Arabidopsis thaliana: one gene and its partner. The protein of the gene in region 2 interacts with the protein of the main gene of each other region in a biochemical or structural test. Each region holds a gene or a part of one and is shown on either strand. Other genes may lie near its edges.

Region 1 (3,753 bases), on a different chromosome or scaffold from region 2:
AAAAGTTTTTTATTATAATTTTGGGGACAAAGTGAGAATCAAACAAAGGATTGTTTTAGCGTACAAGAAAAAAAACTCTGCTCACATATAACAAAGATTGTACCTTTTTGCTATCATAGTAGAGTTTCTAAATAGCTGAGAAGTACTCTTTGCTGAGTTTTGGGTCGGGTTTCATTGACTTCTCACCCGGCTTCCATCCTGCTGGGCAGACTTCATCCGGGTTTTCCTGGATGTACTGTAATGCCTGCAACATTGAAAACGTATTAAGCATACCGGAAATCGAGTGAAAGGAAAGAGCGGTTTTTGGAGTTGTGTGTATTTATTTGTATCTTTACCTGGAGGGTTCTCATTGTCTCATCAACGCTTCGGCCAATACCAAGATTGTTGATGGTGGAATGTTGGATCACTCCTTCCTTGTCGATTATGAAAAGTCCTCTCAGTGCTATTCCCTGTTCTTACACAAACAAAGTTCTTGTTTTCATTTATCCCAAACACTTCGAAAGTTTAAAGGAAGGTAGCCAAGATTTAAAGGCTAACAATTACCTGATCATGGATGAGCACTCCGAACGACTTTGAGATTGATTTAGTGACATCTGAAATAAGGGGATAGTTCAGATCACCAAGCCCTCCAGATTTCCTGTCTGTTTGGACCCATGCAAGGTGAGAGAACTACGAGGACACACAGAAATAAGAATGAATCAAAAATTTGCAAACAGATAAGAACATGGTGATGTCAACCAAGGATGAGGAACTGAGTAAAATGAGAACATAGTAAATGTATAGTGATACTTACCACACTATCGACAGAAACACCTAATACTTCGGTGTTCAACTTCTCAAATTCTGAATGCCGGTCACTGAAGGCAGTAATCTCTAAAAGACATAAGGAAAAAATGAGAAAGATTAGGACTCAAGGATGAGGGAACCTTGGATATTCAATTTTGATATACTTCTCGAGCAATGCTAACCTGTTGGGCAGACGAAAGTAAAGTCCAATGGGTAGAAAAAGAGAATCACATACTTCTTTCCAATGTAATCAGAGAGCTTAACCTGAAACCATACATTCATCAGTTACCAATTAGTTTCCAATCACAATAAGACATATACTCACTAAATAAAAAACACTAAAGACTACTCATTCAGCTTCAAAACTAAACTTAATCTCAGATTAACTAGAAGCAGCAACTGTGATTGATAACTGCTGTAAGTACCTTGATGAACTCTTGATCAAACACAGCCTCTGCCTCAAAATCAGGCGCCTTGTTTCCAACCAGTGGAAGATCATCCTATAATCACCAAATTAAAACTCGTTAACACATCAAATCTAAGGAGAAAGATCAGTCAAATTGACAATCAGATAACCATGGTACTATACCAAAACTACATAGACCTCATCCGAACATACTAATCAGTCAATGAGTATAGCTCATATGTCACTCAATTTCACTTCACCAGAGAAATTAACAACCCTAAACGAAAATGTCACTCAAATTTCTGAACTTTTCGAGTAATCTGCAGAAACACGGTCGCATAACCTATAAATCGTTAACTATTTCCCCAAAACCTATAGGGCTAACAAGTAGGAAGAGAGTGAAATCTATAACAGGCTAATGAATTCAGATTTCAATGACATCGAATAAGAAAAGTATCGACATTTAGATAAACTTACGGCCTGGGCTTTGACAGCAAAGCTCCGACGAGAAGTGGAGCTGAGGGAAGAGCGTCGAGCAAATCCGGAGCGGAGAGAAGCAGATGCGGAAGGAGAAGAAAGGGTTCGAAGGAAAGAAACAGATGGAGAGGAAAGTGAAGACTTTGCTGGAAAAACCCTAGAAGAGGGAGAAGAGATGAGAGTAGTTGAAGAAGCAACAGACGCCATTGCTGCTACACACACTTTGTGACTCTCTGAGTCTGAGCTACCAAACACTCTTATCTATCTGTCAATCACCTCTCTTTGTAGTGGAAGTATGAGGTGGAGATAAGCCTGACGACACCCAAACTCATAAAACGACGTCGCGTTACTCAAAACGAGGTCGTATTACTATTGCTGCAAATATGCGTCTTCTTCTTCTACCTTGGGTAACTCCGTCTCTCCGTTACTTTCTTCCTCCGATCGGTGGTTCAGTTCTCCAAAGTATCTAATCTACTCCTGTTGTTTCAGGTGCATTGTTGTGCTCTCTTCACTTGGTTTACTTTAAAAGGCTTCTTCACTTATTTTGCAAAGTTTTGATTTTTAGTGGTTTCTCTGTTGTCTCATTAATTCTCTCGATCTTCTCCTTTCAAGTGTTGACAGTTCTGAGAGAAGATATAAGTTGAATCGCGTGACCGGAGACATGGAGACTCAAAACAAATTGATGAATGAAACTAAAAGACATGTTAAATCCAGATTGTGCAGAGTTTCTGGGTATTGTTACATTAATCTTTTACGAAATTTTCTAATTTCTTTGACTATAGTTACACTTTTTGTTTTGTTTTTTGTATTTGTGATCAAAGTTCGATGACGGAGATGATGGAAATTCAAGCTGAGAATCCCACATTCCATGTATTGTTTATTCCGGGAAATCCAGGTTTCATTATTATGCTCAAGACTCTTATGCATGCACGTGTATATACTAGTGTGCTTCATACATTGGCTTGTAATTTTTCAGGAGTTGTGTCATTTTACAAGGACTTTTTGGAATCTTTATACGAGTTTCTTGGTGGAAATGCTTCTGTAATTGGTATGGCTGCTCTACTTTTCGAGTTTGATTTCTTTGAGTCCTTAAGATGGAAGCTGTTTATTTCTGAGTTTGAGTTTGTTCTTCTGATCTCTAATGGTGGAGTGGTTTGTTTTATTTGTGTAGCTATTGGGCAAATATCTCACACGAGCAAGGTACGTTAACTTTGGTTTCAGGTTTTACTGTGTGTAAACTTTGATGGTTCTCTTCATATAATATCTTAGTTTGATAGGCTTTCATGATACTTGATTATTTTCACTTTTAGGACTGGGAGTCTGGGAGGCTATTTTCATTTCAAGAACAAATTGATCATAAGGTAATAAAAATCATTTTTCTTCATTGCTCTTGGATTTGAAAGCCTTTAGGTTCTTGTATTGTTCATCCTGTGAAGTTAAGATCTTAATCTGTTAGTTATCATACAGATTGATTTTATCAGACAGGAGTTGGAGAGTGTGAAAGTTCCAATAATATTGGTAAGACTGTCATGTGTATAAGCCATTGACATATTGCTTCTTATGACCAAAATATATATGTCCATTAGTTGGATGGATTTCCAGATTTTCATGAAAATTTACAACTCTAAGCTTAATTGATCTTGGTAGGTTGGGCATTCTATTGGGTCTTATATATCCCTTGAGTTATTGAAGAAATTCTCGGACAAGGTATAGATGGCTTCCTCTAAGAGTAGTACTTTCTCCATCACAATTTCTTTCAGTGCTATGTGATTTTTCTTATATTATTCTCTGGAATGCTTTGCAGGTGGTATATTGCATTGGCCTATATCCATTTTTGACTTTGAACCAACAATCAACAAAGCAATCATTAATTGGCAAACTTGCAGCGTGAGCTTTTGTTCTCAATACGAATCCTCGATAGGAAAGAACCAATCAGTCTTTATTTAGAATGTTGTGAAATCGTTATCATGTTGTGCAGGTCTTCTGTTCTGTCGGCTACAGCAAGTTTTCTGATTGCATCGCTGAGACTTTTACCTATGTCAGCTGCACGGCTGCTTGTATCTAAATCCATTGGAGCTTCATGG
Region 2 (3,753 bases):
CTTTCGCCAGATCCGTCACTATTTCGCAAATTTCATGTCAAACAGAATTGATACAAGATCTTGAGCTTCCTTCACCAAATTGATTCTCTGAGTCCAAGTTGCAAAGCAATAAATAACGTCGTTGCAAGTTGCTCATTGCATGGCAAGTCTCAATTGATCGGAATGTCCTTCTTTAAATATGGTTCGGTTTGGCTCCAACTCGATCGTCAAACTCAAACTACATTAATATGACTCTTCATTTGTTTGTCTTTTAATTTATTTTTTTATCTACCAACCAATCCGGTCCAAGAGCCAAATAATTACTCTACCACAAGGTTCGATTTTTTCAAAATGTTCGACTAAATTGGCTTTTGTAAAAAGCTTATGGCCTACTAGGCTGCATAAACTCCGAAATCATAAAACGTGGATATTCATAAAGGGGTTCCACTTTATTCAACTTCTTAATTAGAAAAATCTTATAGAGACGGTCGAACCCTCTTATATAATTTAAAGGTTCTAGTGTTAGGCACTAGTTTGCTTAAGAAGATACTCATCTATCTCTTTGAAGTTCTTGACAGCAAAGTCCTTGATGACATGTGGATCATCGATCTCATGGGCGGTCTTCTCAAACTCACCAGACCATTTCAGAAGGCTACCACCATCCTTAGGGATAACGGTGATGGTTCCTTTGAAGGTTTTGTAGTACTCCAACATTTCTCCGCCAATGATGCTGTACGACATGCTTTTGTTCTCCAAATCCACTGCTTCGATCCTCTCCGCCGATATCTTCACCAGTGGAGATCCTATATTACGGTAAAGAGTAGAAACAATGAGCATTTTTTAAATAAAGATATGGTGAGAGAGTGAAATATAGTCAATGAAGACATAGATCATTTAGGGTTTATAATGAGTTATTGACCATTAAGTAACATGAATTATTTATTATTATCTTTAATACATACAAGTCTTCCTATCTAGAACCACACTTGTTTTTTTTTTTGAAAGATGTCTTCATGAATGTAGTACTCAATCTTGAATGCGACAAGATTTATGCTAATTACTTAATTAGCCATTTAGGTATTTATTCGAAACATGATTTATTAATTATGGTTACAAATTAAAGACAAAATGAGAAATGTACCTTCTCCATAAGTAATGAGGCGAATGGAGCCAGGAGCGTTGCCATCGCCGGCTAGAACTTGGATGGTTTTGTAGTCGTTAGGGAAAGCTTTGGGGAAGAGATTGATGCCGTCGCCAAGGGCTACCCAGAACTTTTCAGCCGGAGACTTAACCTCAACCTCCACATGAAGAACACCACTCAACCCCATTTGTTTCTAATTAAAAAAAAAACTCAATTATTTTGTATGTCTTTGAATGATTTGTTTGTATAACTTGTCAATGAACGTGTCTATATATAGAGAGGTTTTAAAGCCTTTAGTGATATGATAAATTGCATTAACTATGTGGAGCAACTCATCCAACTAATTTTTCATCCTATGGGTCCTTTTTAAAATTAACCTAAAGCTTATACATTTGCCATTCTTCATTGCTATCTCACCCACTCAAAGAGGTGGATGAATCAATAAATCGATGCATGGTATAACATTCAGTACAAAGAAATTAAAACTGGTTTTGTACTGCTTTAAAACAAAATTGTCGGTGATAAATGTTGAAAAACATATAGTATTGAGAGTCTATCGGCCAAAAAAAAAAAAAAAAAAAATCTAGATATTTTTCATATATTCATACACGTTATTTTTATGGCTACACTCATCTACATATATATTTTTCTTATTATGGATTTAAATTTTTAGGAAACAAAATTATTTCAACTTTTCATGATTATATCTACCCTTTTTAACACTTGATTAATTGGTTTCTCTTCTTTCAAGGTTTTTAGATCAAAGTTTCAATTGTTTGATTTATTTGAAAAACTATTTATCATAGAGAGTGTTTATGGCCTAGAGATAAACTAATCCCTTGTTCGTATTTCTTCAGATCGATTTTGTGAGATTACCATTTTTTCAGATCACTTACTTGGTTCTTTGTTGAACAATGGTAATGTCACACAATCGATCTGAAGAACCAAGTAAGTGAAGTAGCATATTTTACATAATTGGTTCTCATTTACGACCTCTCATAATAACTGTGGGCCAATATGTGAAACATGATGAGATTTAAATGGTTATAAATAATGTATTATCATTGATCAAAAATAAATCAGTAAACGTTCACGTCACACAATTAGTCAAACATAACAACTTAATAATTGCAAATTGCATTTCATAAGAATAAAACTTTCTAATCATAAAGAGCTGAATGTTTCCTCTTTATTTTCTACAATAATCTTCTTGGTGGCACTGGCATGGTTAGGTGCAATGCAATAAAGCCAAAACAATTTCTTCATCGTTAGGTACTTTGATTTCACCATTGTGCGAGAAAACAGCATGTTGGTTTCCATTGATATAAAACGACAACCACTCTTCAATCGTAAAATAAAAATGTTCTAAGAATGAGTCATCATTTCTATTCGAAGCAAAAGTTCATCCGAACCCAAATCCTTAATATACAATTGGATACGTTAAAGTTACAGTATCCTAGGATTTGTCAATCTTATTAAAAAAAACTAAGATTGCTTTAAGAAAATTATAGGTTTTCTCCACTTATAAAGTTTAACTTTTATAATCTCTCTCTCAACGAACTATGAAAACAACATTAGTAAATAGTAATATAGAAGTCTAGAGAAAAAAGTTGAGACGAAAAGGGTAAGGAAACACTCTGAAAGCAGCTTCCCATCTCTATTTGATCGACAGAGATACGTACGTACACAAACTGGTTAGAAGGAGATAGATTCAGACAAGAGAACCAAACCGAGAATTTGAGCTTAGAAAAGTTAAGGAAACATCAAGTCTTTACTTTCTCAAGATGGCTCTCAATTTCTTTTGCTTCACGTACATGTAATCTACGTATTCTTCAGCTCTACCGTCTCTTTCTCTCTCTCTTGAACTTTCGGTAGTTGAAATACTGCTGTTGAGTATTTCAGAAACCTAACCCTCAAAATCAATTAACTTTATTGCACTCTATATTTATCATCTTCAACCACAACAATCTTCTGTTTCTTTGGAAGCAACTAACTACAAAGAACATCTTCACGACTAGAAAGACACATACCCTTCTGTCTTAAGGACGAGACCAGAAGCTTCTTCTATCGGCTTTGTAATGGTCTACAAAGGATAAGAAAAAACCAAATCCAAACTAAAGCTATGCATTTTCCACTTGTTTCGGCTTGGAACAAGAGAAGGAGAAGCAAATCATATGATACGGATCCATGTACGTTCCTTTTCTCCATCATCTTCGCCAGATGGCATAAAAGTATGTTACTGTTTTTGTTTTTCGACATTACTACTACTGAATATAAAGGGTTTAGGTAAAACTGAATCACCATCTGTTTGAAACTAACCTTCTTCTCAGGGGTCTACAGAACAGCAGAATGCTGGCAAATCGAAGATCAGGCTTCTCAGCCAAGGAAGCGAAGATTCGGGTCATCAGTTTATACCCTCAAGGAGATGGAGGAGGCCACAAGTTCTTTCAGTGATGAGAATCTCCTCGGTAAAGGAGGCTTTGGCCGAGTTTACCAAGGCACTTTAAAAACAGGAGAGGTAGGAACTATATAGCTTCATTTATGTGATTTACAGGCTTTGTAATGTTACAAAAACTTTTCTATCGAAGAGGAGCTATTAGAGTAGGATACATATCTTAATCCCTTGTTATTTG

Evidence for each region.
Region 1: the proteins of MLP423 (region 2) and AT3G11630 form a complex in vitro, tested with the Arabidopsis thaliana proteins (one large-scale study listed by BioGRID).

The regions. Positions count from the first base shown.
Region 1 is NC_003074.8:3,670,312-3,674,064, reverse strand, and holds the start of AT3G11630 (Thioredoxin superfamily protein), read right to left. Parts: upstream 2,030-3,753; 5' UTR 1,877-2,029; coding exon 1,670-1,876; intron 1,287-1,669; coding exon 1,212-1,286; intron 1,051-1,211; coding exon 969-1,050; intron 874-968; coding exon 794-873; intron 670-793; coding exon 544-669; intron 450-543; coding exon 336-449; intron 245-335; coding exon 128-244; 3' UTR 1-127. Other genes in the region: AT3G11620 (alpha/beta-Hydrolases superfamily protein), read left to right, coding at 2,331-2,401, 2,491-2,564, 2,646-2,717, 2,841-2,869, 2,980-3,030, 3,137-3,187, 3,317-3,376, 3,474-3,556 and 1 more. UniProt on the Arabidopsis thaliana protein: Thiol-specific peroxidase that catalyzes the reduction of hydrogen peroxide and organic hydroperoxides to water and alcohols, respectively. Plays a role in cell protection against oxidative stress by detoxifying peroxides.
Region 2 is NC_003070.9:8,500,152-8,503,904, forward strand, and holds MLP423 (MLP-like protein 423), read right to left. Parts: upstream 1,915-3,753; 5' UTR 1,748-1,914; intron 1,392-1,747; exon of another isoform or gene 1,330-1,391; 5' UTR 1,308-1,329; coding exon 1,121-1,307; intron 783-1,120; coding exon 502-782; 3' UTR 249-501; downstream 1-248. Other genes in the region: AT1G24030 (Protein kinase superfamily protein), read left to right, coding at 3,243-3,351, 3,451-3,638.